Linked DNA regions of Sus scrofa. The main gene of each other region encodes a partner of the protein of the gene in region 2 in a complex. Links are inferred from orthologs where the notes say so. Each region holds a gene or a part of one and is shown on either strand. Other genes may lie near its edges.

What was found.
Region 1: INTS6 (region 2) and INTS12 share a complex: the UniProt entries of both Homo sapiens proteins name them as parts of the integrator complex. The link is inferred for Sus scrofa from reciprocal best matches to the Homo sapiens genes INTS6 and INTS12.
Region 3: INTS6 (region 2) and INTS9 share a complex: the UniProt entries of both Homo sapiens proteins name them as parts of the integrator complex. The link is inferred for Sus scrofa from reciprocal best matches to the Homo sapiens genes INTS6 and INTS9.

Annotation. Positions count from the first base shown.
Region 1 is NC_010450.4:116,045,331-116,056,340, forward strand, and holds part of INTS12 (integrator complex subunit 12), read left to right. Parts: intron 1-2,371; coding exon 2,372-2,524; intron 2,525-4,414; coding exon 4,415-4,602; intron 4,603-6,350; coding exon 6,351-6,510; intron 6,511-11,010. UniProt on the Homo sapiens protein: Component of the integrator complex, a multiprotein complex that terminates RNA polymerase II (Pol II) transcription in the promoter-proximal region of genes.
Region 2 is NC_010453.5:16,450,518-16,461,527, forward strand, and holds part of INTS6 (integrator complex subunit 6), read left to right. Parts: intron 1-516; coding exon 517-627; intron 628-1,601; coding exon 1,602-1,817; intron 1,818-4,566; coding exon 4,567-4,693; intron 4,694-6,037; coding exon 6,038-6,180; intron 6,181-6,394; coding exon 6,395-6,626; intron 6,627-11,010. UniProt on the Homo sapiens protein: Component of the integrator complex, a multiprotein complex that terminates RNA polymerase II (Pol II) transcription in the promoter-proximal region of genes.
Region 3 is NC_010456.5:12,576,806-12,587,815, reverse strand, and holds the end of INTS9 (integrator complex subunit 9), read left to right. Parts: intron 1-4,386; coding exon 4,387-4,485; intron 4,486-5,482; coding exon 5,483-5,620; intron 5,621-9,910; coding exon 9,911-10,087; 3' UTR 10,088-10,721; downstream 10,722-11,010. UniProt on the Homo sapiens protein: Component of the integrator complex, a multiprotein complex that terminates RNA polymerase II (Pol II) transcription in the promoter-proximal region of genes.

The DNA.
Region 1 (11,010 bases), on a different chromosome or scaffold from region 2:
TTTGTGTGCAAAAGCTTGTCAGTTTGATTAGTTCCCATTGGTTTATTTTTGCTTTTATTTCTGATGCTTTGGGAGACTGACCTGAGAAAACATTTGTAAGGTTGATGTCAGAGAATGTTTTGCCTATGTTCTCTTCCAGGAGTTTGGTGGTGTCTTATCTTATATTTAAGTCTTTCAGCCATTTTGAGTTTATTTTGGTGCATGGTGTGAGGGTGTGTTCCAGTTTCATTGATTAACATGCAGCTGTCCAGGTTTCCCAGCAATTCTTGCTGAAAAGACTTTCTTTTTCCCATTTTATGTTATTGCCTCCTTTGTCGAAGATTAATTGACCATAGGTGTCTGGGTTTATTTCTGGGTTCTCTATTCTGTTCCTTTGGTCTGTATATCTGTTTTGGTACCAGTACCACACTGTCTAGATGACTGTGGCTTTGCAGTATTGCCTGAAGTCTGGGAGAGTTATGCCTCCAGCTTGGTTTTTGTTTCTCAGGATCGCTTTGGTAATTCTCGGTTTTTTGTGGTTCCATATTAGTTTTTGGATTGTTTACTCTAGTTCTGTGAAAAGTGTCGCAGGTAATTTTGTTAATTTGTTAGGGATTGCATTGAATCTGTAGATTGCTTTGGGTAGTATGGCCATTTTTACAATATTAATTTTTCCAACCCAGGAGCATGGAATATCTTTCCATTTCTTTGCATCCTCTTTAATTTCCTTGATTAATGTTTTACAGTTCTCAGCATATAATCTTTTGTCTCCTTGGTCAGGTTCATTCCCTGGTATTTGGTTTTTTGGGGTGCAATTTTAAAAGGTATTTTTTTATTTCTTTTCTAATATTTCATTGTTAGTATATGGAAATGTGAGTGATTTCTGAGTGTTAATCTGATATCCTGCTATTTTGCTGCATTTGTTGATCAGTTCGAGTAGTTTTTGGTTTGAGTCCTTAGGGTTTTCTGTGTATAGTATCATGTCATCTGCATACAGTGACAATTTTACCTCTTCTCTTCCAATTTAGATACCTCTTATTTCTTTTGTTTGTCTGATTGCTGTGGCTAGGGCTTCCAGTACTATGTTGAATAAAAGTGGTGAGAGTGGGCATCCTTGTCTTGTTTCAGATTTTAGCGGGAAGGCTTTCAGCTTTTTCTCCATTGATTATTATATAGGCTGTGCATTTGTCATAAATGGCTTTTATTATGTTAAAGTATGTTCCCACTATACCCACTTTGGTAAGAGTTTTTATCATGAATGAATGTTGGACTTTGATGTTTTTTCTGCATCTATTGAGATGATCATGTGGTTTTTTATTTTTCTTTTGTTAATGTGGTATATGATGTTAATTGATTTGCATATGTTGAACCATCCTTGTGAACCTGGGAATTCATAGCAATACAGGCTTTCCTCAAAAAAGAAGAAAAATCTCAAATCGACAACCTAACCCATCACCTAAATGAATTAGAAAAAGAAGAACAAATGAAACCTAAAGTCAGCAGAAGGAAGGAAATCATAAAGATCAGAGAGGAAATCATTAAAATAGAGATTCAAAAAACAGTAGAAAAAAATCAATAAAACCAAGAGCTGGTTCTTTGAAAAGGTAAACAAAATTAACAAACCTCTGGCCAGACTCACCAAGAAGAGGAGAGAAAAAACCCAGATAAACAAAATAAGAAATGAAAAAGGTGAAGTCACAATGGATACTGCAGAAATACAAAAAACCACAAGAGAATTCTATGAACAATTGTATGCCAACAAATTTGACACCCTAGAAGAAATGGAAACTTTCTAGAGACTTACAGCCTGCCGAAACTGAATCAAGAAGAAATAGATCAACTGAACAGACCGATCACTAGAAATGAAATTGAATATGTAATAAAAACACTCCCTACAAATAAAAGTCCAGGACCAGATGGCTTCACAAGTGAATTCTACCAAACACAAAGAGGAACATACCCATCCTCCTTAAATTTTTCCAAAAGGTTGAAGAAGAACACTCCCAAAGACATTCTGTGATGCCACCATCACCCTAATATCCAAACCAGACAAAGATACCACCAAAAAAGAAAACTATAGGCCAATATCTCTGATGAAGATAGACACAAAAATTTTCAATGAAATTTTAGCCAACCGAATCCAACAACGTATAACAAAGATCATACACCACGACCAAGTGGGATTCATCCCAGGTTCACAAGTATGGTTATATCAGTTGTTTAAAGAAAAGGACAATACATTGGTCACAACATGATGTCTTAATTTTTAACTGAAAATTGCTTAGATTTATGATCTGGCTTTTTTGTTGTTGTTTGTTTCTTGTTTTGTTTTAACAATATATTGAATAATCTGAATATTTCACTATGGATATCTTTTTAATTTCACTTATAGGATATGGAGCCACCCAAAATTTCAAGCACAAAAACTGTGTCTGTTAAGCAAGAGCCCAAAACAACATCCAGTCTTCCTTCTGGCAATAATAATGGCAAGGTCCTTACAACTGAAAAGGTAAAGAAGGAAGGTGAAAAGAGACCTGCTGATAAAGTAAGATTTTATTTTACTCTAGTAAATCAATCAGTCAATCAGTTGTTTATTGGCAGAAAAATATTTTGCTCTCTTTGTATGTAATAGTGGATAAAAGTATATAATCAGTAAATATGTTTTGATAATTATAGGTGTTGGTTTTTTGAAAAATTAAAAATTTAGAAACATTTTTAAACCACTTACTGAAGTCATTGTCAACAACATTTAAGCCCTAGAGGATGTACTAATTTTATGTGTAATCTTACAACTCAAATGTTCCGAGTGGAACAGTTGTTGAAAAGAAAAGATAGCGAGGAACGAATAAAGGTGTAAATGACTAAATATGAAATTTGTTACAGAATGGCCTGTACCTTAACAGGGGTATAGATAACTCATGGATTGTCTATTTTGAATGATTTCCTCACATAATTAATTATTAGGATTTTTGCACTTATATTTAAAAAATGTTTTTAGAGAAACCTTAGTAACCTCTGGCCTGGAATATTTTAGTACTTTTTCTAAATATTGGCTATTCATAAACTATATGGTATAATTTTTTGTGTTTTTAAATTTGTATAAATGCTGTACATACATATCGTTTGACAACTTTTTCTTTTTTTTTTCTCGCTTTAAAATTTTTTTTTTTTTTTTTTACTTGTTTAACAATCCGTTGCTGTGTTGCGTACGGTCTACAGCTCATTCAACTACCTGGAATATATCCAGCAAAATAGACAACCACAACAAAAAGACAAAAGAAAAAAAAAAATGTCCTTTTAATATTTACCTGTGTTGACACTTACAGATCTGAATGTTTCTTTCAACTACCATGTAATATTCATCCTATGTATAAATTAGTTTATCCACTCCCCAACTGATAGGCAATTAGCTTATTCTTTTTCTCTGTTACAATGGAGCATCAGTGAGCTTTTTTGCACATGGTGATAATTTCTATAGGATGTATACCTATAAGTGGATGTAATAAGATAGGTATATCTTCAACATCATTAGGCATAAGTGGATTATAAGTTTATACTCTCACTGATAAAGTATAAGAATTCAAAATTCTCTTTTTTTTTTTTTTTTTTTTTTTTTTTTTTTTTTTTTTTTTTTTTTTTTTTTTTTGTCTTTTTAGGGCCACACCAGCGGCATATGGAGGTTCCTAGGGTCTAATCGGAGCTGTAGCTGCCAGCCTATGCCACAGCCACAGCAATGCCAGATCCGAGCTACATCTGCAACCTACACCACAGTTCACGGCTATGTCAGATCCTTAACCCACCAAGTGAGGCCAGGGATTGAACCTGCAACCTCATGGTTTCTAGTCGGATTCGTTTCCATTGTGCCACAGCGGGAACTCTTTTTTTTTTGTCTGAATTCAGAATTCTCCATGTCTTATCAGACTTTTAACTTTTGCCAATCTGACAGGTATATCCATAATATTTATGTCTTAAAGAGAGGAGACAGAATTTGCTTTTAAGCAAATATGGAGATGTGTTAGGCCTGGATGACTGATAGAAGTTCATTATTTATTTACTTCTTTTCAATGTATTTTAAATGTCAGTAGTTCATAATTTAAAATACTTAAAACAAAAATAGCCTTAATTGTGCTGTGGCTTCTCAATTCAAAGTATCGAATGGTGGGGGGTTTGGGGGAGGTAGTCAAAGACAGTATAAGTAAATTCCTGAACTTCCAGGATTCTTTAATGGATAAAAGACTACAAAGAGAAATACAGGTCCATGTTAAACTGTTCCACCTTATTGGTTTCTTTTAACATACTGATTGTGATTTTATTGTCCATCTTCGACAGGTCTAACTGTGAATATATCTGATGAGTAGACTTGGTCATTGCACACTGTCTGTTTTATCCCATCTCTCTGTGATTTAAAATTTATTCTAGTGTGATTTTTTAATAGATGAAATCAGATGTCACTGAAGGAGCTGATATTCCAAAGAAACCAAGATTGGAGAAGCCAGAGACACGGTCTTCTCCCATTACTGTCCAAACCAGCAAGGATTTGGCTATAGCTGACCTTTCCAGCTTTGAGGAGACGAGTGCTGATGATTTTGCCATGGAGATGGGATTGGCCTGTGTTGTTTGTAGGTAAGTTATACCTTGCCACAGATTATTTTATTTATTTGCAAAGAGCAAACATCTCTCAAAAGAAAAATGAGATGAATTGTTGGGCGTTTTTACTTTGTTTTTATTATTTAGAGGTGGGTAGAAGATAAGGAGATTATTCCCCATGAACTGCCCATATGACAGTTTGTCTTGAAAATTTTCAATATTTTATCTTCCTGACATTGGCATCTTTGGTCAGTTATGCTGTAGTAACACTTTCTGCATTCTTGGGTTCTAGAGGGAAAGCAATTATTGCTTTATTCTTCAGTGAGGAAGAGCCTGTTCAGCAGATTTAATTATTTCCATCTTTCTTTTTAAGAAGACTATGTTTCTGGAGTTCCCGTCGTGGTGCAGTGGTTAACAAATCTGACTAGGAACCATGAGGTTTCGGGTTCGGTCCCTGCCCTTGCTCAGGGGGTTAATGATCCGTTGTTGCTGTGAGCTATGGTGTGGGTTGCAGACGCGGCTCAGATCCCGCGTTGCTGTGGCTCTGGCGTAGGCCGGTGGCTGCAGCTCAGATTGGACCCCTGGCCTGGGAACCTCCATGTGCCACGGGAGCAGCCCAAGAAATAGCTAAAAAGACAAAAAAAAAAAAAAAAAAGACAATGTTTCTTTTTTTTTTCCTAAAGTGTTGATAGTATTTATAAAGTAAAAAGTTATGTATCATTTTCTCAAATACTATTAAATATTTTCCTAAGGATAATGGAAACAAATGATTGGATCATGTAGGTTATTTTGAGTGTGTTTTAAAACATGGATACATAATTATAAAAGCACAGATAATTCTGCTTAGTAAAAGAGGCATTTTAAAATTCAGGATAATTAGATTTTTAAGCAACTTGATGCCAGGAGCTATATTTTTAATTGTTAATGGCTTTCATTGCTTTAGCACAGCAGAAAAGATAGCCACCTTTATTGGTATTTTCTTCATGAAAATGTTAAACTCTGGTGCACTGGGACTAAGCCTATATCTATAAACTTTTGTGAACCTTTAGAGAATCAGTTAATGTACTTCTGAATGGGATCATATTGCTAGAGCTTCATTATTTTCACATGTATTTTTCTCAACCTTTATTTACCATAAGGGTTATCATTTTTATATAAAGAAATAAATGGTAAAGTAATAAGAGGGAAAGAACTAGTAATTGTAGCCCTCCATCAGGAGACTTCTTATTCTAGCCTAAGGCTATTGCTGTTGGAATTTATACTTTTTTGATACACATATTGCTACATTCTATTCAGTTGATAAGACATTTATTTATTGAACAACCTATGTCTACACAATAATGTGCTAGGCTCTATAGACTATTAGGTACAGTTGCCACCTTTAGGTAACTCATATAGTAATGAAGAAGATAGAAAAATATGTAGGCAATATATATAAAGGAATTTAATAGAGGTACAAGTACAAAGATGTTATGAGACTGTTGGAGGACTAGCCAAAGTCTACTACCTTCTAGGAGAAAGAAAAAAAATTGCGATGAGAAATGACAAGGTGAATAGAGCCAGATTTAGTCAATAAGTCACTTCATGTATTTCTTAATGGTGAAAAAAAACCTTTAAAAGAAACAGTGTTTGTACAGGCTATATGTTGGGGTTTGTTATTTTGCTCTTTGGTTTTCAGGGGATTTTACCCTCTTTAGTATATCAAACTTTACCAGAACAACCTTAAAATGGCTTTAAATTGTTGCATTCAAATAAATGTATTGTTTAATGGTGTATTCTCTTAGGCAAATGACAGTGGCATCAGGTAATCAATTAGTAGAATGTCAGGAATGCCATAATCTCTACCATCAAGATTGCCACAAGCCCCAGGTGACAGACAAGGAAGTGAACGACCCTCGCCTTGTGTGGTATTGTGCCCGATGTACCAGACAAATGAAGAGAATGGTAGGAATCATTTTTCTCCATCTTAAACAATCTCTGTGAAGTTTTTTTGTTGATATGTGCTTTTTAAAATAAAAATTGGACATTTATACTACTGATAAAAATAAATCATGTAAGCCGATTATGTAAATGTTTGTGTATGTACCATAGTATGTGTGATTTATGTAGATTTGCCTAAATGGGCCAGACCACATGTATGTATTTTTTTCTATTTATCTTTAGCGCTTTCTGGTATAAACAAACAGGATCGAAGACCCACAAAATATAAACATTCCTTAGTAGTATGTCAGTGTATTTGTAAACATTTAAAAAAAAATAATGCAGGAGTTCCCATCGTGGCTCAGTGGTTAACGAATATGACTAGAAACAATGAGGTTGCAGGTTCGGTCCCTGGCCTCATTCAGTGGGTTAAGGATCCGGCGTTGCCGCGAGCTGTGGTCTAGGTCGCAGACGCAGCTCGGATCCCGTGTTGTTGTGGCTGTGGTGTAGGCCGGTGGATACAGCTCCTATTAGACCCCTAGCCTGGGAACCTCCATATGCCACAGGAGCGGCCCTCAAAATGCAAAAAGACAAATAATAATAATAATAATGATAATATTAATGATAATAATAATAATGCAAAGCACTGTGGGAAGTGGTGAGATACAAAGCCCCAGTCTTTGGTGAGTCTGGTAATGAAATATTGGAAATGCCTATTCCTGAGTGAGCATAAATCACCAAACATACAAACTGTGTACAGAGGTAGTATTTGTATTGCATCTCTGTCTTTCCTTCTGGGTTTCTTTATTTGCTTCTCAGTCTTTCCTTCTTATTGTCTTCAAGTGACCATTTATCCTATTTTCCAGAGTACTACCTCAGTTGCCTGTTGACAAACTTAACTGCCTTTGATATCATACTGAACATGTTTTCATTTGTTATATTGGATAATTTTCTAACTTTTATTCATTTAAAAAATAGGTAGATGAACATTGTTAAAAAGTCAAGTTGTTATTTACTTCAGTGACTTGCTTGCCTCTCCCACCACCATTCCCCCTGCATTAGATTAGGGACTCCTGATAGAAAAGTTCTCGTATCTGATAACCAAATGAATTTCTACATAAAATTTTTCTGACCAAATGTACCTTTTTAAAGTCAGAAGTTCTTAAAGTAAAAAACAACAACAACAAAGATATCTACTGTATTTTTAATCCCTTAAATCAGAATTAGATTATGTCTTTATTCCTATGAAAAGTTGTAAAATTTCAGTAGTATTTATACTTTCTGTTTGTAACAGGAAATTTTATGACAAGGTATATTTTTTTTCTGCTCAGTCTAATTTTTATTTAGTTTAAGTAATAAAACTAGCTCTCCAGGATGTCATCAGAGTGTTTGTGGGTAAACAATATAGTGCATTCCAATGCATCGACACAAGTAGTCACTAAGAATTAAGTCAGGATAAATAATTTGTAGCATTTATCTGTCTTTTCTTCAGTATAACTTCAAAGTCTATTATTATTTAACTGTAACTCTGTTAATAAAGTAAGTACTGTTCTTTCCTAAGTTTTCCCTCCCTTATATTTTGTGACTTAGTTTACACCAAATGTATATCTATAGTTTTTTTTTTTTTTTTTTTTTGTCTTTTTAGGGCCACACCCTGGCGGTTCCCAGGCTAGGGGTCGAATCAGAGCTGTAACCACTGGCCTACACCTCAGCCGCAGCAATGCCAGATCTGAGTCGCATCTGCGACCTATACCACAGTTTATGGCAATGCCAGATTCTTAACCCACTGAGCAAGGCCAGGGACCAAACTGCATCCTCATGGACAGTCAGATTCGTTTCGGCTGGGCAATGACAGGAACTCCCCTTTTTATAGTTCTAACCCTCTCTGGAGTGGATTTTGGCAGCAGAACAGATATCCTACAGTTACTTTAAGTTTAATATTTTTATTTATTTTTTTAATTTAATTTTTATTATTGTTACTATAATAATCCACAGCATGCAAAAGTTCCTAGGACAGGGATTGAACCTGAGCTATGGCAGTGACACTGCTGAATCCTTACTGCTAGGCCACCAGGGAAGTCCTTAAGTGCAACATTTTTTAAATTAAAATTATTTTCTTCTCCACTCAGTTTTTTTCCCCTATTTCCTGAACTAGAAAACATTATCTTTGATGCCTCTCTTAATTCCATATCCCTTTGTTTACCGCACTTGTTAATTGTATCTCTAATGTATTTCTTAAATCTTCATTTCACTTTTATTACCCTGTTCCACAAATCCCTCATTTCTTGTCTATTATTTTAGCTTAAGAGGTCTCTTTCTTCCCTTCAGTCCACTTTACTCACTGTAATTAGAATATTCTTCTAAAATATTTATCAAACTTCATCGTTCAAGTTTACCAGTGGCTCTCAGTTACTGATATAATGAGGTTATCCCTGCCAGGGTGAATGTATAGACTTTCTCTCTTGGACCTACTTTACCTTTGTATCCTTCTCTCCTGCCACTTCGCCGTATACACCAACATACTATGGCCATGCCGGACAAATGGTTCATTCCTTGCGTATATGGTGAACTTTCATTTTCCCATATGCCTTGCTTCTCAGTTTCTCTTCATCTGGGATACCTTTTTTCTTTATCAACTTTGCAAATTAAATGTCTAATTCATTCGTCATTAAGACCAAGTCTCAGAGTTCCCACTATAGCATGACAGGATTGGCGGCATCTCTGGAGTGTTGGGACTCAGATTTGATCCCCAGCCCAGCACAGAGGGTTAAGGATCTGGCATTGTTGCATCTTGGTGTAGGTTGCAGCTGTGGCTAGGATAGGATCTGATCCCTGGCCTGGGAACTCCATAGGCAATCATGGGTTAGCCAAAAAAAAGAAAAAAAAAAAAAAAAAAAAAAAAAAGACCAAGTCTCACTCACTGGCAAAGCATTAGAGCAGAGCTCAGGACTGGACACATCCTACATTCTATTGTTCTCATTTTAAGATACATAAAATGGAGGAAATGTAGATTAGCACCAGAAATTATTAAGTTCAGTCAGTGTCCGAGAGTCCAGTGCTGAATGGGGGGCCATGACTAATATTAGAACATGATTAGATCCTGTGAAATCAGATTGTTATGATCATTATACAACTACAGATGTGATAAATTCATTTGAGTAATAAAAAAAATGAAAAGAAAAAAAAAAAAAAAAACACGATTGGAATGCACCAAGAGTGGACCTAGAGAAATACCAAAAGACATGATCTGAAGTGAGCTCGGAGATCAGGATCCAGTATATACAAGTTTAGTGAGAGAAATAAATTTGGAAATAGTGGGGATGCTAAGTCCAGTCATTCTTGTTATAATTGCCTTCATCGAGGTTCTCCTATGTGCATTGGTTATTGCTCCAAGATAACTCAAAGACACCATAAATTACATCTTATATCACCTTTCTCCTTGTGCTTAATCCTCCAACTAGGGCAGATTCTACAGTACGCATTATTATAGGAAGACAGAGTTAAGAATGGTGTGAAATGGGTGATAGGGTCCAAGGATATTCTCACTCACTAAGTGAGAGACCCATGACTTATTGTAGTGATTCTCAATCTAAGGTAGTAACACACTCCTACTCAGCAATATTTAGAAATACATGGTAGTTTTGATTGCTGCTATACTGGCAGTTATGGCCTTCAGTGGAGAATTTCATATGTTCTGTGATATGTAAGTCACCTAATGAAAAATTATAGTGCCTTTGTCGAGCAGCACTGAGTCAAATGATAATATCCTAGTTCCCTAATCTGGTATGACCAGCAGAGGACAAAGGGTTTTGGGTATTTTTTCCTCAGCTTCTAAGATGGCTACGTAAAATAAAAGAAACAGAAAAAGACCTAAACATGATCTTCTAGGCAGAGCTTCTTTATGGGCTTGATGGTGACGAATCTTCATCTACTAAAACATATGTTAGGGAGGTCTTCAGAGACTAACCACATCTACTGGTTAAAGGCCATGGATATGGAATTATGTATTTCTGATTTACTCTGAAGGCTGCATTCTCATAATGTGGTATTACAATGGAGGGTAAGATAATCTTTCTCGGTAGCAAGAGATATTTTACCATAGATATCTTCTAGCATCGTTAATAGTATTCTTGATCTGAATGTTGCTTTATAAGTGATATTTGAAAGTAGGTGTACTTTTCATGTGGAAAGTATGTAATATAAAAATGAGATGAAACTTAAGGATGAAAATTATATTGTATGGTAAACCATGCACAAGAAAATCCAAATATAAAACAACTGCATTCAAGCTTCCAGATATGAAAACACATTATTAATAAATTTCCTGGTATAGACTTGCATGGCTTTATTAGGATTGGCAAAGACAATGTAATGGCTGGGAGCATCTGTACCCATCCAGTAAGGACAGGGTCTTTCAGATTCTGTTTTCTTACTTTTTATAAATGGTGATGAATAAATAGTAACTATTATTGTTTGCATTCAACATGTGCCAGATACCATGCTAAACTGTTACATAATTACATT
Region 2 (11,010 bases):
ATGATTAATATCTACTGAATACTTAACTGTGTGCCAGATGTATTTAATCCCATGACAAACTTATGAGATAGAAACTAGTATTATCTTACAAATGAGAAACTTAAGGCACTTGAGCCAGGATCACTGAGCTAGTGAGGGGTCTAGCCACAGCCCTTCCAGTTAGCCAAGGTAGAAATCGTCTATTTTCCTTGACTCTTTTTCACTTATCAAATCTACCTCTGCACTGTGTCTCCTGCCTGTTTCTTCCCAACTTAGTGTTTCCAATGATACTAAGAAGTCCAAGACTTCACCCTTCCTTGCTCTGGGTGTTATTTTTATAGCCTCTAATCTTTGTTGACTATTTCAGACTGGCTTTCATAACTCACATTTTGCTGAAATACAGATAAGATTATGTGACTCTCTTATTGAAGAAAAGAAGGAGACATTCTTGGGGCAAAATTTTCAAAATCGACAATACATGTAGCTGTAAATTTTCGACAAGCTTAGGATTGAGTGGTGTTTTCTTTTTCCCTACAGCCTTTGAAGAAAGCTGTTAGAATGATGGGAGCACCTAACCTAATAGCAGACAGTATGGAATATGGACTTAGTTACAGTGTCATTTCATACCTCAAAAAACTGAGTCAGCAGGTAATGTTAAGAAATAGAGCCATTAAGTATTTTGAATGGTTTTGGCTAAGGTGTTTTATAGGCCAGATGTTAGTTCTTGATGGTTCTAATTCCATCATATTAATGTAGTACATTTTAAAACCACATCACATATTATATAATAACATAATTCCATTTCAAGTACATAGTATGCCATGTTTTGAAATGTCAGTTTCAAATAATAATTCCTAGTTTGTACAAATGGCTTTATTAATGTGTCCTAGCCTTCCTGTACATGAAGAGTCTTCATGTTTTCTTTTGGGAAATTTATGTTAGAAAGTTGTCAAAAAAATCAGTTTCTTTTGCTTTAGATTTTAAAATCTATAGTTTATTCTTTCAAAATGGGAATTTCAAATTTCTTTTGAAATGTTTGTAAAAATAATGAATTTTGTCATTTTGAGCATAAATCACATTAACAGTTACTGTAGTATTCAAGCAGTATTCAGTTTGACTGCTGTTACTGAAATTGTATAAAATACAATTTTTCTAGTACTACTGAAATGTAGGTTGGAGTCAAAATATTGCTATTTGCTTTTTAGTGAAAAACTTCATCTCTATTTGCCATATCTTTGAGCATTTAGTTATATGTTGGCTATAATGTAAGTAAACATTGATGAAATTTTCTTTTTCTAATTTTACATGGTCTCTGAATTGGAAAGGATACGTTTACATTTCATGATTTAGGGGTAGTGGATATTAATAAATAAAATAAATTGAAGTTGTATTTGTATGTCCTGCCCCAAAAGGTAAGAATTGTGATCATTTAAAATCCTAAGACATTATAAACTATGTTAAGTTTACCAAGAACTGAAAATAAACTACAGTACTAAGTAGAGCTTTAAATTTCCTGTGTTCTTTTTAAATGTAGGGAATAATTTATAGAAGACCAAAACTATTAGCATTTAATTTACCACTTTAGATTATGTCAAGACAACTTTTGTTTATTTTTGCTTTAGGCCAAAATAGAATCTGATCGAGTCATCGGTTCTGTAGGCAAAAAAGTAGTACAGGAAACTGGAATTAAAGTCCGAAGCCGATCACATGGTTTATCAATGGCTTATAGGAAAGATTTTCAACAGCTGCTCCAGGGAATTTCAGAGGATGTTCCTCACAGACTGCTAGACCTTAATATGAAAGAATACACTGGGTTCCAAGTTGCTTTGCTTAATAAGGTAATGGTTATAGGAATTTAGTACTGCTCTAGTTACATTGTTATATTGTTTTAATACATCCAATTTTCTGTTCACTGATGCTCAGTTTGTCCAAACTTCTATACCTCTGCAGAAAAATGATCAATTATACTCTTACTGAATCATTGAATTTTAGAGTTCAACACTGTACCTGGTGAGTGGATAAGTGGACTGGCAAAGAGCAAACCATCCCATTCATTTTATAGATGAGAAGACAGGCTGAAAGTCACATAGCTAAGGGTAGGGTTCGCTGTAGTTTGGTACTTACACTGCTGACCTTGGGAGCACAGCATGATTCTGAAACGCTTTGTGAATAATCATTATTAAAAAGGTCCTCATCCCAGTGGTTGTTTTGTAGAAACAGGGTGATTCTAAAATTTATATGTAAGTGTAAAGGTCTTAGAATAGCCAAAACAATTTTGGAAGAGAAAGTTGCAACACTTGCACTATGTACTTTTAAAAGTTTCTGTAAAGCTTCAGTGATCAGTATGTTGTATTGTTGGCATAGGGATAAGTATACAGGTCAGTAGAAGCAGACCCTCACATGTACAGTCAGTTTTTAATAAAGATGCCAAAATAATTCAGTGGGTGAAGAGACAGCCGTTTTAACTGATAGTGCAGGAACAACTGGATATCCATATTTATAAACTTTTGCCTCACATTACTTGAGATGATCATGGTCATAACTAAACCTATAAACTTCTACAAGGAAACAGGATAAATTGTTTAATATGTTGGATCATGGGTCAGTGAAGATTTCTAAAATGTAACACAAAAGCACACACACACAAATGCATACAAATTTGATAGACTGAATTGGGTTTTTGTCTTTTTTTTTTTTTTTTTTTGTCTTTTTTTTTGTCGTTTTTGTCTTTTGTTGTTGTTGCTATTTCTTGGGCCGCTCCCGTGGCATATGGAGGTTCCCAGGCTAGGGGTCGAATCGGAGCTGTAGCCACCAGCCTACGCCAGAGCCACAGCAACACAGGATCCGAGCCGCGTCTGCAACCTACACCACAGCTCACGGCAACGCCGGATCGTTAACCCACTGAGCAAGGGCAGGGACCGAACCCGCAACCTCATGGTTCCTAGTCGGATTTGTTAACCACTGCGCCACGACGGGAACTCCGGTTTTTGTCTTTTTTAGGGCCACTCCTGTGGCATATGGAAGTTCCCAAGTTTGGGGTCGAATTGGACCTGTAGCTGCCTTAACCTATACCACACCCACAGCAACATGGGATCCAAGCCACGTCTGCTGCCTACACCACAGCTCATGGCAACATCGGATCCCTAACCCACTGAGTGAGGCCAGGGACTGAATCTGTGTCCTCATGGATACTAGTCGGGTTCGTTACTGCTGAGCCACGACAGGAACTCCATGAACTTTGTTAAAAATGAACATTTTTGTTTTCAGAAGAAACTTTGAAGTTTCTCCTAGGCAAGCTACAGCCTGGGAGAAAAGCATATATTGAATAAAGGACTTGTATCAAAATATATAAAGAACTCATAGAACTCAAAACAAATATGCAGTTGAAAAATGCACAACATAAGGAGTCTCCTTGTGGTGCAGCAGGTTGAGGATCTGATGCTGTCACTGCTGTGGTGTGGGTTCGATCCCTGACCTGGGAACTTCTGCATGTCATGGTCGTGGCCAAAAGATAAATAAAATACATTTTTCAAATGGACAAAATATCTGAACAGACACCTCACCAAATAAGCTATACAAACTCAACATGAAAAGAGGTTCAACCTTATTAGCCACTGAGGAAATGTAAATTAAAACTATATGATCACATTTCATTCCCACCTAAATGGCTAAGATTTAAAATTGAAAAATATTAAGTATTGGTAAGGATGTAGAACAACTGAAACGCTCATATATTGTTGATGGAAAATAGTTTGCAGTTTCTTAAGAAAGGTAAATATTGCTATATGACCAACAGTTCTAGTTGTAGGTTTCCCCTGAGATAAATGAAAGTATGTATATAAAGGTTTTGTATGTAAATGTCATAGAAGCATTATTTGTAATAGCCCCAAACTGTAAACAATCTAAGTGTTCTTCAACAGGTGAATGAATAAAGTTATAGTATATCCATGTAATGGAATACTACTCTGCAATAAAAAAGGAATAGACTCGCAGTACCTTAACAATATTGTTGAATCCTAAGAACATGCTTAATAAAAGAAGCCAGATAGGAAAGATTTCATATTGCAAGATTCCACTTATAAAATAGAACATAGACAGCAGATTAGTGGTTGCTTACAGTAGGAATTAACTACAAATGGGCACAAGGAACTTTCTAGGATGATGGAGGTGTCTTAAAACTGGATCATAATGATGGTTTCACAACTATACATTTACTAACACTCATCAAGTTGTGTATATAAAATGGGTAGTTTTATGTTATGTAAACAATACATCAAAGGATTTTTTTAATAAAAACCTTCATACTCTTTAAAATTTGGAAATCATTTTCTAAGATATTTACTTCTCTTAGCCAGAATATATAATAAAATCTTGGACAGATGTGAATTTGAGATTATTTGGTTGAATCTCACTACCAATTTTGTATTTTTAGGTTCTTAAGATTGCATCATATCTCTTTATTCTAATTTTAAGCTAATTAGTTAACTTGTATATCATATTTCCAAAGCTGTGTTGCAGGCTAGAGATTTTAGTTTCTCTTAATTCTATGTTTCAAAGTAAATTTTGTCTTTGAATCTTTTTTAACAGGATTTGAAACCACAGACATTTAGAAATGCATATGACATACCAAGACGGAATCTTCTGGATCACTTAACAAGAATGAGATCTAATCTTTTGAAGAGCACCCGTAGATTTCTTAAAGGACAGGATGAAGGTTAGATTATCGTTTTAATATTGGTATTTCTTTACTAAACTTCTTTCTTTATATTGAAAACACATAGAATGCTGCTGTAACTTTTAAAGAATTATTACAGTAGTATTACATAATCATTGAATGAAGTAAAAAGTGACTCATCCCTCATTCTCTGCATTTCTTACTGCCGTCACTGTTGTGCCCAATTCTGTTCCCCAGAAGTAACAATCTTTGTTAACAGCTTAGTTTCCTTTTTGGCTTTCTTTATACATTCACACATATAGGCACAGACACAAACAACATCGTTTTCTTGTGATGTACTAATATCCGATAATTTAACTCTAAATGGCCAAAATATGTCATATTCTGGTATTTTCTTCTACTCTGCCCATGGCAGCTACTACGAATCAAGTCAGGTGGGAACTTAACCCTTTGCCCACTCTGATATAAGCATTTCAACTAAGCGTTCTATAAAAAGGGTAATCTACATCATTTTCCTGTAAATTATGCTATAATTATTTGGAATAGAGTAGAAGAGACACTCCTTTTCATGGAAATGTTAAACATATTGCTTGTTCTATACAGTGAAATTTGTTTTGTTTAGAAGATAATTAAGTTTTATTTTTAAAAATCTCTAGATTCTGTCACAATATTTATAATGGCAACAAACTAATGTAGGCCATGTGGTAAGGGAGGACTGCCCCCAGTAACTCCGGGGAGCAGTCATACATCAGGAGACACTATTTTTTTTCTTTTTTCTTTTTTTTTTTTTAAGATTTTAATTTTTTTTCATTATGGCTGGTTTATAGTGTTCTGTCAATTTTCTACTGTACAGCAAGGTGACCCAGTCACACATGCATGTATATATTCTTTTTTCTCACATTATCATGCTCCATCATAAGTGATTAGATACAGTTCCCAGTGCTATACAGCAGGATCTCATTGCTTATCCATTCCAAAGGCAATAGTTTGCATCTATTAACCCCAAATTCCCAGTCCCTCCCACTCCCTCTTCCTACCCCTTGGCAACCACAAGTCTGTTCTCCAAGTCCATGATTTTCTCTGTGGAAAGGTTCATTTGTGCCATAATTAGATGCCAGGTATAAGTGATATCATATGGTATTTGGCTGACTTACTTCACTTAGTATGAGAGTCTCTAGTTCCATCCATGTTGCTGCAGATGGAATTATTTTGTTCTTTTTTATGGCTGAGTAATTTTCCATTGTGTATATATACCACATCTTAATCCATTCATCTGTCGATGGACATTTAGGTTGTTTTCATGAGAAGATATTATTCGATAACCACATGGAAGGTAGTTTTAGTGAGGTTAACTTTTGTTGTTGCTCTATTCTGTTTGAAAAGATCAAGTGCACAGTGTTCCTATAGCACAAATGGGGAATTACCAGGAATACCTCAAGCAAGTACCTTCTCCACTAAGAGAACTTGATCCTGATCAGCCTCGAAGGTTGCATACATTTGGCAACCCCTTTAAGCTGGATAAAAAGGTAAATTTGGAATGTTATTTATATAATTTATTTGTGCTAGGCACTGTGAATTTAACAGTTCTTAATCTAACTCAAGTAAGCTGAAGCTATTTTCCTGGTAGAATACCTAATGTCACATAGTTAAAATATAGTTATTTTAATGGTAATTGGAATTATTTGTGCCATTTAAAAACTGTATGTAAAGACAGGGAAATTATATTCTTTCTTGTTATAGGGAATGATGATAGATGAGGCAGATGAATTTGTGGCTGGACCTCAGAATAAACATAAACGACCTGGAGAACCAAATATGCAAGGCATCCCTAAAAGACGCCGCTGTATGTCTCCACTACTGAGAGGCAGACAGCAGAATCCCGTTGTGAACAATCATATTGGAGGAAAAGGGCCACCTGTACCTATGACTCAAGCACAGCCAGATCTTATTAAACCCCTTCCTCTTCATAAAGGTAAGAGTTTGTCCTTAACATTATTTGTTGTTTTTTGATTCTTCACGGAAGAGATTTTTGTAATATATTACGGAAAAAAATCGATGAAGTCCAAGAGAAGATACTTGTTTATTCTAAATTAGCATGTAAGCATTTCTCTATATCTTTTAAATGAACGGTTATTGAACATTTCGTGCTTATTATGTTTAACAGTTATCATGATCTAAAATATCATTTGCAAATCTTAAATATTTAAAAACTACAGTTTTCTAAAGGGGTGTTATCAATACCCACAGAAAGATGGTTTTCAATTTCAGTTTAATTCAACCACTAATTTTTAAATGATACGGTTTTGTTTGTTTATGGCCACACCTGTGGCATATGGAAGTTCCTGGGCTAGGGGTCAAATTGGAACTGAAACTGAGGCCTAGGCCACAGTCGTGGCAATACCAGATCTGAGCCGCATCTGTGACCTACACCACAGCTCGTGGCAAGGCTCAGATCCTGAGCATGGCCGGGGATCAAACCCACATCCTCAGGGGAGACAGTGTCGGATCCTTGTGCTGCTGAGCCACAATGGGAACTCCATGATATGCTATTTTCGACAGTGCGAAGCACTGAGTTATAGTGGTAAACAAGACAGTGATCACTGTGCGCATTTATAATGAGTGAGGAAGGAAAGTCATCGAACATTTCACTGGAAGTATGATGAATGTTACAGAAGGGAAGTCTGGTATGTTGGGAAACATTTAGCAAGTGGATTTAACATAGTCTATGGGCACTTAGCTGAGGAAGTTATGTTTAAGCGACCACTTGAAGGATGAATGGGAATTAGTTAATAACTAAAGCTGTGCATTCGCCTGTGCTACAGTAGTCGTCTAAGAAGAATCTGTGCAAAGGCATACAGTAAAGAGCAGGACATTAGGGGAGCTGAAAGAATTCTAACACATTAGGGGTTAGGATGAGGTAAGGTGAGAACTGAAATACACATGCAGAGTCCAGATCATAGAGGGCCTTGGAAGCCACTGTAAAGATTCTAGACTTTATTCTAAGGACAAGGAAAATCCATTGAAAGGTTTTAAAGAGGTAATGATCTGATCTGATTAGCATTTTATAAAGACCAGGCTGGCCTTATTGTGGGCAAGAATGAGAATTGATATAGGAAACTCTTAATTAATGGATTTGTTAATTGCAGGTGGTGATCTTTCATGGCTAATAATGTCTTAACTGGAAGGAAATTAATATTATACCTCTTGATGGAATTATACAGTATTACTTTTAAAGTCATCTTGCTCTCCTCTTCCCAACACACGCACACACACACAAACTGACCATCAATCTAATCAAGCCTCTGTTAAGTACCAATTTTTAGGAAATATAAGGGACAGAGAAACATGTTAAATTACAAAACAGATATAATTAGCAAAATCCAGATTGCGGGAAACTATAGGACAAAGACTTTGGTGTGTGTGTGTGTGTTTCCAGAAAAAAAAAAAGTGCATGGAAAAAAAGAGGTACAGAAGGATTTTATAGATTAAAACATATAAATCAATTGCAGTGTGTTTATGGTCTGATTTGGACCCTGAACTTTCCACAGACACAGAAAATGTGGCAATTGGAGATTGTGGGCAGTGATTGGGTATTTGATACTATTAATTAATTGTTAGGGATGCACAGGCAACAGTTGGGAAACACAAGGAAGAGCTAATGGTGACCTGGAAGTGGGTTGTGCGAAGAATGTTTAAGAAATACTTGGACACATCAGCAAAGGAGTTGGTGATGACTGATTGGATGTTGGAGTCAGGGCAGGGGAGCAGTGGAGAGACAGTGGGTATTTGAGTGTGCTAGGGATGGAGTGGAAGAAGAGGTGTTGAATGAGTTTAGTTTAGAAATATCTATTAGATAGCCAAGTGGAGATCCTCAGTTAGAAGATGGATAGTTGAATTGGAACTCAGAGAAGAGAACTGGGCTGGAGAGATGGGTATGGGAGGCAGCCTTAAATCCCATTGAGTGACCTAGGGAAAGAGAAGAAAAAGCCTAGAATAGAACTTTGAAAGTAATGAAGTTTAAGAGGAGAAATAAGATTCAGAGAAAAAGGGAAGAATCCAGAAGACAATAGGGAAGAATTCAGTGTGGTGTGGAAGCTAAAAGGAAAGAGCATTGAGTAGTTGGTGGTCTCAGATGCTTCTTAAGCAGACCAGGAGGACTGAAGCGGGTCTGAAGGTCTTTAAGTTGACAGAGTTGAGTATGTTTAAATGCTGGTGTGATGGAATCAATGGGAGGGGGGCTGAAAATGAAGGTAAAAGAAAGTACAATCAGTGAGAAGGAGGAAGGGAATGGTTCAGAGCCCACATGAAGGACGTTTCTTCCATTAAAGCTGAGCAGGTGTGGTGGGCACAAGTGTAACGGTGGCAAGTTGAGGAGGTTCCCATTCTACAGCTTTTCTTTCCTCCTTGAAGTTGGAGGTGACTTAATGCTGAGAGGAAGGAGAGATTGGGAAAGTAAGAGATGTTACGTTAGGAGGAAGGAGAAGGTGCAAATGATTTTTGTGTGTGTGTGTGTGTGGTAGAGGAGCAAAGGTTGTAGTAAGAGGGCTAGGCAGTGCTAAGACCCAGGTCACGGACGGTGATTGTGACCACTCTGCAGAGCTGGCTCGTATTCTCCAGTAGTGCTTACCCATCATCCCACCTGCGAGTCTGGCGCAAGCAGATAGACTGCATCATCAAATCTGGGATTTTTCAAAACAAAAATTGGGGATTTTTGCCTGACAGGTGTCATGGGAAGACAATAGGATGAGAGAATCTGGGACACTGGTTAAAAAGTGATACATTATGGGATATAAGTTGGCTAGGTAAGAAAGTGGATATCTAGAAAGAATCTCATTAATATGAGGGGGAAAGTAGAGGAGTTGCTGGGAGTGAAAGTCTGGCTGAGTTCAAGAGCAGTAGGAGGAATACTGCCAAGATGAGGGTTACACACATCTCTGTCCTTGAATTTGTGTTTGACTTGAGAATCAAAGAGGTGGGTGGAAAAGTTCTTTGGAGACGAAAAGGTGAGGAATTGGGAGGCCAGGTTCTTGGCAGGTGATCTCCTTAGGTGTGGATGTCACACACTGCAGCACTTCTCAAGCTTTAATGTATATAGGAGTCTCGGAGGCAGGGGAGGGAGGTGGTCTAGTTAAACGACAGATTGTAATAAATTGTGTGGGGGAGGGCTTAAGGTGAGCACCTCTAGCCAGCTCTCTGCTGGTGCTAATGCTGCTTGCCTGTCCACAGACCACAATTTGAATACTAAGGACCCAGAATGATATCCCAAGGGATGAAGTCTGTGGACCAGGTGCCAGACACATCCCTGACCACAGGTGTGCCCTGGAGATCAGTAAAGATAGTGCTGAGCAGAGTGAGGATGGCTGGAGTGGGACAGCTAAATCCCAAAAGAGAAAAAGAGTTTTTGCAAGAGTGTATGGAGAAATGATCTTGAAGTGGCCCTGGGAGGTGAAAGAATCAGTGATTCCAATCCTTATTTTAAGTTCATTGAGAATGTTTGCGAGAAAGCAGTTTCTGTTTTTCAGATCTGAAAAAGAAAGTGCAGTATCTTTGCGGGAGAATTGGGTGTCAGTTAAAGCAGGAATTGCTATAGAGAATATTCAGTAAAGTTTGCAAATCATGGAACAGGATTTAGGAGGGAGAGGGAGTCTCCTGGGGTTCGAGGGGTTTTTATGGGGATGAGTTTACATTTTGGACAGTAAATGAGGAAAACAGAGATGAATTCAGCTGGGCTCCTGGAGGTTGGTAAGCAGTCAAAGAGTTTGGAATTAAGCTGATTTCTGTGGGGAGCAAGTTTAATAATCTAATATTAAGTGGCAAGCTTGCAAGCTTTTTAAGTATGGTCGTCTAGTGAGCTGAAGTGGGCACTGGCTCTTGTGCATTACGACTAGATGAATGGTTATAAGAAAAGGGGATGCTGCGGGACCACCTGTTTGGTTTGTGTTCACCTTTGCTTCTAAGTAGTAACTACATGAGGCAGAGGCAGGATGGAATGAACTAGTACTCTAACAAAAACTATATCCATGATAATCTTGATCACACATATTTCCCTAAAGCATCCAAACCTAATTTATTCAATAAAATTGAATAAAGTGAGAACTGAAAGTTATCTGAAATTAGCTTTTTTTTTTTTTTCCTAAGGGCAAGAGTTGTACAAATTTTATAAATGGTGTGAAAGTTTCACATTGAAACTCACCATATATTTGGCAAGGCTTAAGAACCATATCACATTATTTGTTAATTTGCATCAGGTCAAGGAGAGAGCATTTGTGAATTGCTGTAATATTGTTTCTTTGCACTTTTCTTTACTGTATGTCTGGAAATTGGCTCTCAATTTTTTCCCCTTATTTTTGTTTTTA
Region 3 (11,010 bases), on a different chromosome or scaffold from region 2:
GACTCCTGCAGTGACTGTGTGCAGAGCTCAGAGGGACGCTGCTGCTGGCTTCCCATTGCCTCTTGAAATGCTTGAACATGTTTTTGACAAACAGGGAAAAGAGGTAGGAAAACCAATCATTAAAAGCAGTGTCCCTGGAGTTCCCTGGTGGCCTACAGGTTAAAGGATCCAGCGTCATCACTGCTGTGGCTTGGGTCATTGCTGTGGGTGGCATAGGTTCAATCCCCAGCCTGGGAATTTCCACATGCCATGCACGAAGCCAAAAAAAAGGCAGTGTACCCAGATGCTCTCTGGAGCTCAGAAGAATATCCAGATCTTAGGTTTGAAGGCTAAGCCCCTGCGTATTACCCACCCCCAAGGCCCTGACAGTCTGGTGGGGGAGCAAGGCCATGTGCCATGAACAGGGCCCCAGTGTCCAGTACATCCAGGCTTTTCCACAATTAACCTGAGGTATTTTTATTATTATTATTAAGAGCAATAGATAAAGGAGATCTAAATGAATTCCAATAACTAATTTAGATAAAATTGATTGAGCAGCATCAAACTAGCCAGATTTTTTTTTTCACTGCAAGCAGTTGTTTTTCATTAAGGCACATGTAAGTAGATAATCATTCACATTTTACACCCATTTTCATTTCACTCTTATTTCCTGGGGAAGGAGCTGGCACAGCACATGTACCCTCCTCAGCACACAGTGTGTGGCCGGATGGAGGGAGCCAGGCATGCTGCCTGTGAGTCCAGGCTGGAGAGATGAAGTAGGGAAAGTTATAAACATAATTTTTTTGTCTTTTTTGGGGGGGTGGGCACCGGAGGCATATGGAGGTTCCCAGGCTAGGGATTGAATCAGAGCTGCAGCCTTTGGCCTGTGCCACAGCCACAGCACCAGAGGATCCGAGCTATGTCTGCCATCTACACCAACAGCTCATGGCAGCGCCAGATCCTTAACCCACTGAGCAAGGCCAGGGATCAAACCCACATCCTCATGGATGCTAGTCAGATTTGTTTCCACTGAGCCATGACAGGAACTCCAGGATGATTTTTTTAAAGGGGCAGTCCAGGAGTTCCCCTGTGGCACAGCAGGTTAAGGATCCAGCATTGTCACTGTGGTGGCCTGGGTCACTGCTGTGGTGTGGGTTCTCTCCCTGGCCCAGGAACTTCCACATGCCGTGGGTGAGGCCAGTAAAATAAATAAATAAAGGGGCAGTCAAACCACATGTTAGGCAATAACCTGGTGGAAAGATCCGTACAGCTCCTTAGGCTGACTGCCTAATTCTTTAAAAGGAAAATATTCCTTTTTCTTTAGGGCTTGTGAGTACAGCAGCTCACACCCTGGTCTCTCAGCTCAGCACTTGATTTGATTTCTAGTAACAGCCCCTTCAGGAGAGAGGTGGCCAGGGCTGCCGGTGTCAGGAGTTTCCTCCTGGCGCTTAGTGCACCTGACAGCACTTAGCATGGAGCTGGCCTCTCCTCTGCTCTCCCCTGAGGCCACATCCTAGCAAGACCAAGAGAATAAAAATTCTTTCATCTCTAGGTTCCAGGTTATCCTTTCTCCATATTTCGCTGGCCCAGCTCCTTGCCTCCCTTATTTAATCATGCAGATCATGTTTATTGAGCCCTCACAATGGGCCAGGGCCTGTACTCCGCACTTTCCATGGATTATCTCACTCACGTTATGACACAGGTACACTTACTCCATTTGACCTGGTCTCACCAGGCAGTGAAGGAAGGGTCTTCTCCATCTCTGAAGAAGCCTCAGGTGATCACCACTGTATTTCTTCCCCAAAGGTCATAGCTAACGAATGATACAGATTTTGTCCTTGAAACTAAGTGAGAGTAGGGCCTCTGATTGATTTGTGCTAATGTGGCCCTCAGGCCCACGGCCCAGACATCGCAGTAGGGGTGCTCAGGGTAATCAGAACCGGCAAGCAGCATCCCAGAAACTTGTTATAGGTGCAAGTTCTCCAGGCCCACCTCAGTCCTACTGCATCAGACCTTCCAGGGGGAGGCCCAGCCGTCTGGGTATTAGCCAGCCCTCCAGCTAAAATCTGAGACCCACGCGTGTAAGAGACCTCTGTATATTCCACATGTGCCAGGTTTTAATAAAAAAGGCCAAAGGAAGACACAAACAGAAATGCTAGCCATCTACAGAGAAACAATCTGACTAATAAACTTCTGGCATTTCCCATGCCCAAGTTTATCCTCACCGTGATTAAATAGTCCATGTTAGCTTGTTCCCTCTTTATTTATTTTTATTTCATTTTTTTTTGTTTTGAGGGCCACACCCTCAGCATGTGGAAGTTCCCAGGCTAGGGGTCGAATCCAAGCTACAGCTGCCAGCCTACACCACAGCCACGACAATGCCAGATCAAAGCAGCATCTCTGACCTATACCACAGCTCACGGCAATACCAGATCTTTAACCCACTGATCGGGGCAGGGATCGAACCCGCATCCCCGTGGTTATTAGGTTCATTACTGCTAAGCCACAATGGGAACTCCTTATTCCCGTTTTAAATCAGCAACATAAAAGGTAAATCTTCCTCTGTTAAACCTGACACTGAGCCAGAGGAGCAAGAGATTGGCTTTGAGGGCTGCACAGCACCCTGTTCTGTCTTTCATGAAGCCCCTCCCTCAAGTACAGTAGGCGTAGAACCTCAGCCTTGACCCTGAGGCCTGCCCCACCCCCACCTGTGTGCCATTGTGGGTCCCTGGATACCTAGCTCTGTCATCCTGCAGGTTGGTCAGGACTCTTTTTTGACCAACTGTCCTCCTGAAACCTGCTGGATCTTTGAAATCATGGCTCTTTGCTATAGACTTCGGGTTGCTTAACCCATGAGGTTAATATTGCCTGTGCTGGGATTTTTTTGTTTTGTTGTAGTAATTTGGCATTGATAGTGGATTTTTTTGGTTGCTGCGGGTAGATGAAAGCAAGTTCTCCCTCCAAAAAGGGTCCAAGTTTTTGTTCTGTAATTTGTAGCATAGAAGTGGCACTAACCATCCCCACTTCTAGTTGTTATTATTATTATTTAATGTGTTTTTATTATTTTGCTTTTCATTTTCTTTGCATTTTGCTCATCTCAAAGTGAAAGACTCTGACACAGTGTCTTTGGATTCTTTTTTGTCTGGTATTTACAGTGGCTCTGGGCTTGAAGGCTTAGGTTCAGATTCCAGTCCTCTAAGCCAGCAGTCCTCAAATGTTTTGGTCTCAAGACTTCCGAAAAATGAGACCCCCAGGAGCGTTTGTGTGTGAGGGTTACATCTATTGATATTTGCTATGTTAAAAATTAAAGGCTTTTAAAAAATGTTTAATAGGAGTTCCCGTCGTGGCTCAGTGGTTAACAAATCCGACTAGGAACCATGAAGTTGCGGGTTCTATCCCTGCCCTTGCTCAGTGGGTTAAGGATCTGGCGTTGCTGTGAGTTGTGGTGTAAGTTGCAGACGAGGCTCGGATCCCGCGTTGCTGTGGTTCTGGCATAGGCTGGCGGCTACAGTTCCAATTGGACCCCTAGGCTGGGAACCTCCATATGCCGCGGGAGTGGCCCAAGAAAATGGCAAAAAGAAAAAAAAAAAAAAAAAACCAGAAAAAAAATTTAATAAAATTAAAACAATATAAGCCCATTAGATGTTAACATAACTAAAATATTTTTTATGAGAATCTTTCTTTAAAAAAAGATAAGATCACTGTTTGATTCTTGCAAATGCCTACTTGTGGAAGACAGCTGGATTTGGCTGTCTCCTTTTGCTTCCAGTCTGTTGTGATATACATGTTATGGAGCCTCTAGAAAATTCCAGTGAACACTCAGGAGAGAATGAAATTGAAAAAGCAAAAACATCTTATTAATGACAGCCGTATTGATCTCAGTGCCCTGAAAGAGCTTCAGAAGCCCCAGGGACCATGCACCACACTGAGAACCAGCGCTCTGGATAGTCTTCTTGCCTGACCTGGGTGACTCTGCGGAGAGTCTCAGCCAGTCTCCAGGAAAAGCACTGCAAGAATTATTGCACTTCGTTTGCTTCCTCTTCTGAGCCCATTTACCTGCTGCCACAGTCCCATCTTTTCTCGTCTGCCCCTCTCTCACCTCCTGTCTTCATTGCAATTGAGTGTGTGTAAGATGTATTTTTTATTAAAAATTAGAGGTTTTTTTACCTTCTTAAACTTATTTGGTCATTTTAGATTGCAATGGTGTAAGTAAAAATTCAAAAGAAGAAAAAGTGAATAAATAGTAATCATTAAAAGTTCCGCTTTATCTGGTAGCTTTCCCACCAGGCTGGCCGGGGCACATGGTGTGCTGACCCTGGGCTATCACCATCCGTCTCCGAGCTGTGCATTTCCCCTTCCCCCCACTTCACACTGAGCCTGACTTAAACCCCTCTGTTTGCCCCACAGCTCGCAGACTCTCTGGTGCCCATGGAGATTAAGCCTGGCATTTCCTTGGCCACCGTCTCAGCCGTGCTGCACACTAAAGATAACAAGCACGTTCTTCAGGTATCGTAGGGAAGGGTGGGTGGGGCTAACGGGGAACCATTCCTCCCAAGAAGGTGCTAACATTCCAGCCAGCCCCCAGGACAGTGCCTCCCACACCACCAGATACTGGAGACCAGACTACCTGAGGGATTTGATTTGAAATGGAGAGAGCACTGCATATCAGTTCTCCACACCTTACGTGGGAGATAGAAGCCAAGAGAAATGATTGTTCATGGAGATGGGACCACGCATCATCCCAAGTGTGGTCCACAGCTCTGAGGGCACCAGCATCACCAGCTGCCCACGTGCTCTCAGCAAGCTCCCATAGGCACCACCCTGAGCCTGCAAGGTTGGGGTAGGGATGGGGGCCCCACAGCAGACGCAGTCCCTGCTCCTGCCCACAGGGGCCTGGAAGGCAGCAGACTGGGGCAGGTGGCCTGAGGCTGGGCAGCTGGAGGGCTCCGCACCTCACTTCATGGCCCATGTGCCACCTTGAGGGGCAGCTCTTTGAGACCTCGTCGCTCTCATCATGTGCTGACAGCAGCCACTGACATCATACCGTACCCTGAGCTGGGTCCTACATGCATTTAGTTAATCCTCACAAAATTTTCTTCATCATCATCATCTTATGGGCTATTTCTCTGCCCTTCATTTTCTTGAGGGAGAGACTATAACCAACCAGGCTGGCCCCATAGCCAGCATCCTGCTGCTGTGCTGCTCCACCTACTGCCACCAACGTGGTTTATTAAGACTTTACTCAGTCCTGAATTGAACTGATTTAAAATTTAAAATGGATCTTGATAAAGGGAAGATGTCTTTGCCAAAGGAGTTGATTCTCCAGGTGTGGTTGGCTTCAACTTGTTTGGGAATCCGGCTGGGGGTGACCCTGAGCACAGATGCCTGCCAAGTATTTCCACCACCTGGAGGGGGTCCTGCTTGGGATAGATTATCGGGTGGCCTGCACTAATCTCTGCAGCTCATGGGTGGAGTTCTTGATTCCTGCTTTCCTCCTGCCCAGCCCCCACCCAGGCCTGCCCAGCCCGTAGGCGGCAAGAAGAGAAAGCGGGCAAGTGAGGAAGTCCCCGACTGCAAGGTTGTGAAGCCTTTGCTGAGTGGCTCCATCCCTGTGGAACAGTTTGTGCAGACCCTGGAGAAGGTGAGTGCGTGTGCTGGGGCCGTCCTGCTCCGCTCACGGTGGCTGCTGCTTGTTATTAGTCCCCACTGCCTGAGCTGCTGCCCCTGGAGTATCTGCTTGGTCCTCGGTCATGGCAGAGATAGAGGAGAGCGTGCCCTCTCCATGGTGCCCTGGTCGTTCCCCTGCTGGCCCTTCCTCCCCCTGCAATACCCATCTGTGGGGAGACACCCCCACCCGACCCTGCTTCCTGTGGGAATAAACTAAAGAAAGGTCTTTCTCTGAAAATGTAGCTGGGACATATTGGGGGGGGCAGGTGGAGGCCAGTAGGAAGAAGGATCTACCCCCTGTGGACCCCTTCTCTTCCATGAGAACACCCCTTGCTATCAGAGCCAGCATGGCCACCTCACAGGAGAGGCGTGTCCAGGCTGAGTGTCAAGACTAGGGGTGGGCGTGTTGCCAGTGTGAGCAGAGGGCATCAGCATCACTGGATCCCCAGGAGCTTGGAATGCAGGGCCAGCCATTCCCAGGCAGGGTGGGAGGAGAGAAGAGCAGGCGGGCATTTTAGGGGATGGTCGTCCCTCCCCTGGCTCAGCAGCCATGCCACCCCTTGTCCCTGATGGCTGCTCCTTCCAAGGAAGAGATTTACTGGCTACAGTTAAAAAGAAAAAAAAAAATTCATCTGAAAGGATTTTTAAATTCTGGCTTCAGTCACAGGACTTCAGAGATTACTGTTGTTTTGGCATCAGAATTAAAGATTCCTTGATAGGAGGAGGAATTAGCTAAAGTTAATATTATTCATGCTGCTTCTTATAAGAACTACTACTAACTCTAGTAAATAATTCCAGGAAAGAGATATTCTTCTAAGGTACTGCCTATGTCCAAACTAAATATCTCAGTTGCCGAGTTCTTTGCTTCAACTAACTTTGGGTTTTGTTTGTTCTTCTTTCTCTAGTTGCTTTAAGTGTAAGGTTAGGTTTGAGATTTTTCTTGTTTCCTGAGATAAGATTGTATTGTTATAAACTTCCCTCTTATAACTGCTTTTGCTGCATCCCATAAGGTTTGTATCCTCATGTTTTTATTTTCATCTGTCTCTGGCATTTTTGTTATTTCCTCTTTGATTTCTTCAGTGATCCATTGCTTGCTTGATAGCATATTGTTTAGCCTCCACATATTTGTCTTTTTTTGCAGTTTTTTTCTGATAGTTGATTTCTAGTCTTCTAGCATTGTGGTCAGAAAAGGGTCTTAATGTATTCTTAAATTTATCAAGGCTTGCTTTGTAGCCCAGCATGTGATCAGTCCTGGAGAATGTTTCATGTGCGCTTGAGAAGAATGTGTATCTGGCTGCTTTTGGATGGAATGTTCTATAAATATCAATTAAGTCCATCTGGTATGATGTGTCATTTAAGGCCTGAGTTTCCTTATTGATTTTCTGTCTGGATGATGTGTCCATTGCTGTAAGTGAGGTGTTAAAGTCTCCCACTCTTACTGTGTTACTTTCTATATTGATTCTCCGTTCATGGCTGTTAGCAGTTGCCTTATGTATTGAGGTGCTCCTATGTTGGGTGCATATGCATTTACAATTGTTATATCTTCTACTTGAATTGATCCTTTGATCAGTATTGTGTCCTTCTTTGTCTTGTAACTAACATTCTTTATTTTAAAGTCTATTTTGGAGTTCCCATTTTGGTTCAGTAGGTTAAGAACCTGAATAGTATCCATGAGGATGTGGGTTCGATCCCTGGCCTTGCTAGTGGGTTAAAGATCTGGCATTGCTACAAGCTGTGTGGGTCGCAGATTTGGCTTGGATCCTATGTTGCTGCAGCTGTGTTGTATGCTGGCAGCTGTAGCTCCAATTTGACCCCTAGCCCCAAGAACTTTCATATGTCTCAGGTGAGGCCCTAAAAATAAAAAAAGTCTATTTGGTCTGATAAGAGTATTGCTACTCCAGCTTTCTTTTGATTTCTATTTTCATGGTATACCTTTTTCTATCCTCTCATTTTCAGTATGTTCCCTAGAACTGAAGTGGGTCTTTTGTTTTTGTATCCATTTAGCCAGTCTCTGTCTTGTGATTGGAGCATTTAATCCATTTGCATGTAAGGTACTTATTGATATTTTTGTTCTTACTGCCATTTTGTTCATTGTTTTAGATTTATTATTGTAGGTCTTTTTTCTTCCCTTCCTCTTTGGTTTTCTTTTCTTGTGGTTTGATGCCTCTCTTTAGTGTTCTGTTTAGATTGCTTTTTCTTATTTGTGTATTATTTATTTTAGATTTTTGGTTTGCAGTTACCATGAGGTTTTTGGTTGTTTATTTTTCTGTGAATTTTATTACGTTTATAGTTGTAAAACTACCTTGATGTTTCAGTGTAGCAGTCTATACAAGATTGTTTTAAGTTGCTGATCTCTTAATTTCAAATGCTTTTCTAATATCCTGTAATCATACTCTCCTCATGATTGCTGGTTTTGATGTCATATTTGTGTATGGATGATTTCCTACCTTTATGCTATGTTTGCCTTTACCAGTGGGCCTTCTCATTTGTAATTTTCTTATTTCTAGTTCTGGACTTTTCTGCCTAGAGAAGTTCCTTTTCTTTGTCTTTAATTTTGGTTCATTTAATTTTGGGGTGTGACTAGAGGCAGCTGTTTGCCTAGGACAACTTTAGGCAACCTGTCTGCTGATGGGTGGAGCTGTGTTTCCTATCCTGTTGGTTGTTCAGCCTGAGGCTTCTCAGCACTGGAGCCTTCTGGCTGTTGGATGGGGTCAGGTGTTTCCAAATGACAGCCTCCCAGGGAGCTCACACCAATGATTATTCCCTGGGGCCTCCATCTCCAGTGACCTACCCCCACAGTGAGCCAGAGCCACCCTCTGCCTCCCCAGGAGACCCTCTAAGACCCACACTTAGGCTTGGCCCAGGCTCCTGCTTTGCCCTGGGACCTGGTACATCTGAAAGCTTGTGTGCTCCCATAGTCCTATGGGGTTTCTACACTCAATGCCAGACCACCAGGCTGGGGAATTTGGCACAGGGTTTGAAACTTTCAGTCCTGTGGGAGAACCTCTGCAATATGGTTATTTTCCAGCTTCTGGGTCACTCACCCAGCAGGTATGAGATTTCCTTATATCTTGAAAGCACCCCTCCTACTCTTGTTGGGCTTCTTTTTCTTTGGGTGTAGAATATCTTTTTTGGCAGTTTCCAGTCTTTTTTTGTTTATGGTTGGTCAGCATTTAGTTGTGATTTTGGTGTGTTCGTGAAAGGAGGTGAGTTCAGGTCATTCTACCCTGCCGTCTTGTCTTTAATCCTGCATTTTTTCAAATATTAAGGGCTCTCCCTCTATTGGGAATTTTCTATGCTAATGATTTCATTGTCTCTGAAGGGAGGGTTCCCCCTGAGTTGTGTGGCTCTCCTGGGCCCTAATAACATGGGGACACCCTGTGGGAATTACCTTGGAAACCCCGTCTGCCATGAACATACTGGTACCTGCTTCCTCATGACTGAGCAGTGCTCCGGCCCTGCTGATAGGACTCACACTTGACTTTTCTTGAAAACTTGAAGCAGCTTGCTTTCCCAGAAAGGCTTTGTTTAGTTGTTCTGCCTGGTATGCCCAGGAATTGACCCCTGGGACCTGACTGACTGACTCCTCTGACCATTCTGCCCCATCGCTTCCTGCAGGAGGAGTATCTGTGCCTGCCCCAAAGTATGTGTGAGTTTTATAGAACCAAGTGCGTTTTTACCTCTTGTGTCCTTTTCAGGCAAATCAGTCTTCTTTCCCTTCTTTCTCAACTTTACGTTTGATACACAAGAACACTGAGTTAGCATTGGAGGTGGCACTAGAGAAGGTGACACTGTCTCTGCTCCCTTGGGAGGGATTTGCCAGATCACAGCGTCAGTGGCATCCTGCTGTGAGGAATGACATTTTCCCGGGACAGGATAGAGCTTTTCAACCTGGGACCTCAGTGGTACAGGAGTTGGTGTGGAATAGCCCAGCACCCCAGCCTCCTGAACCCAGGTCTTGGATGTGTTTCTCAAGTAACTCACAAAAGCTTAAGCAGATTGTAGGAATTCTGCTGTTTCTGCATGAGATTTTGCATGTTTAGGGGCTTTAATTTGAATTCCGTTACTGAAGTAGGTCCTGTACTAGTCTGAAGATTTATACTGAGGAGTATCCCAAATTCCTCAATTCCTTGAATGTTCAGTTTAGCCAAATCAAGGAAGTGTCATTTTTAGAACGTGGTTGCTGAAATATCCTCCTGCCTTTCAGTCAGCCCCTTACTTGTCAGAGCACCCACCATCCTCGTGTCCTTTTCTTTTGGAGCAGCATGGCTTCAGTGATATTAAGGTGGAAGATACAGCCAAGGGCCATATCGTCCTGCTCCAGGAAGCTGAGACACTCATCCAGATTGAGGAAGATTCGACCCACATCATCTGTGACAATGATGAGATGCTCCGGGTACGACTGAGGGACCTTGTCCTCAAATTCCTACAGAAGTTCTAAGGGGCACACCTCGACCATCTCCCCGTCCCCGAGCCCTGCAGTCCTTCACTCTGGCTGCCCCGTGCCCGGCTAAGGGGGCCCTACTGCAAGGCTGGTCTCTGGGGTGGTTTCCCTGGCGTGAGAAATAAAGCAGCAGCCCTGGAGGGACGTTCTCAGGAGGTACAGCCAGACTCTCCTGTCCAGCTTCCTCACACTGATGCAGGTGAGAGCTTTCCCCCTGTCAACCTCAGACTCGTTTTCCTCCCGAGCCTAGCCCTCTTGGGTGCCAGCTGGGAAGACAGTGAGCTGGAGCAGCATGAGAGAGGCAGCTGCTTTCCAAGAGGCCAGGGTTGGAAGGGGAGGTAAATAGATGATGATTTGTGGCCTATTTTTCATGCTTTCACAGGCCTCAGTTGAGGGAACTAATCTTTGATTTTTGTTTTATTTACTTGTCTACAGTGCTGTACCTAGTCAGAAAGACGATCCCAAAATTAGTAGGAACCCATCTATTTGTATTTTATAATGTGAGCCCATTGTTAATAAAACTTATTTTGTATAGAAGTATGTATTTTCTGTGTTCTGTTGAACTTTGAACTTATGTATTCATTTGGTATCTGAAAAATATTAAAATATATAGAACTAAGAGAACAGCAAATTTTAGTTTGGTGTGTGCATTAATATATTTCTTAAATTGTACAAACGGTGCTTTACCTTTGCTGTGTCTACTATGTAAAGAACACCAACACTGACTACTAACACCAACTGTGACCTTCTGAATAAGGGCTTGAACCAGCAGCTCAGGCTCCACTCACTCACCTTCAGTCCTCCAACCCAGCCAGCAAGCAGAACACCACAAAGGGCTATAGTGACCTAAGAACTACGCCACTATCGGAACTACTTGCTCAGGTTTTATGGCGAGTTGATTGGCACTTCTCTCTTTAGAA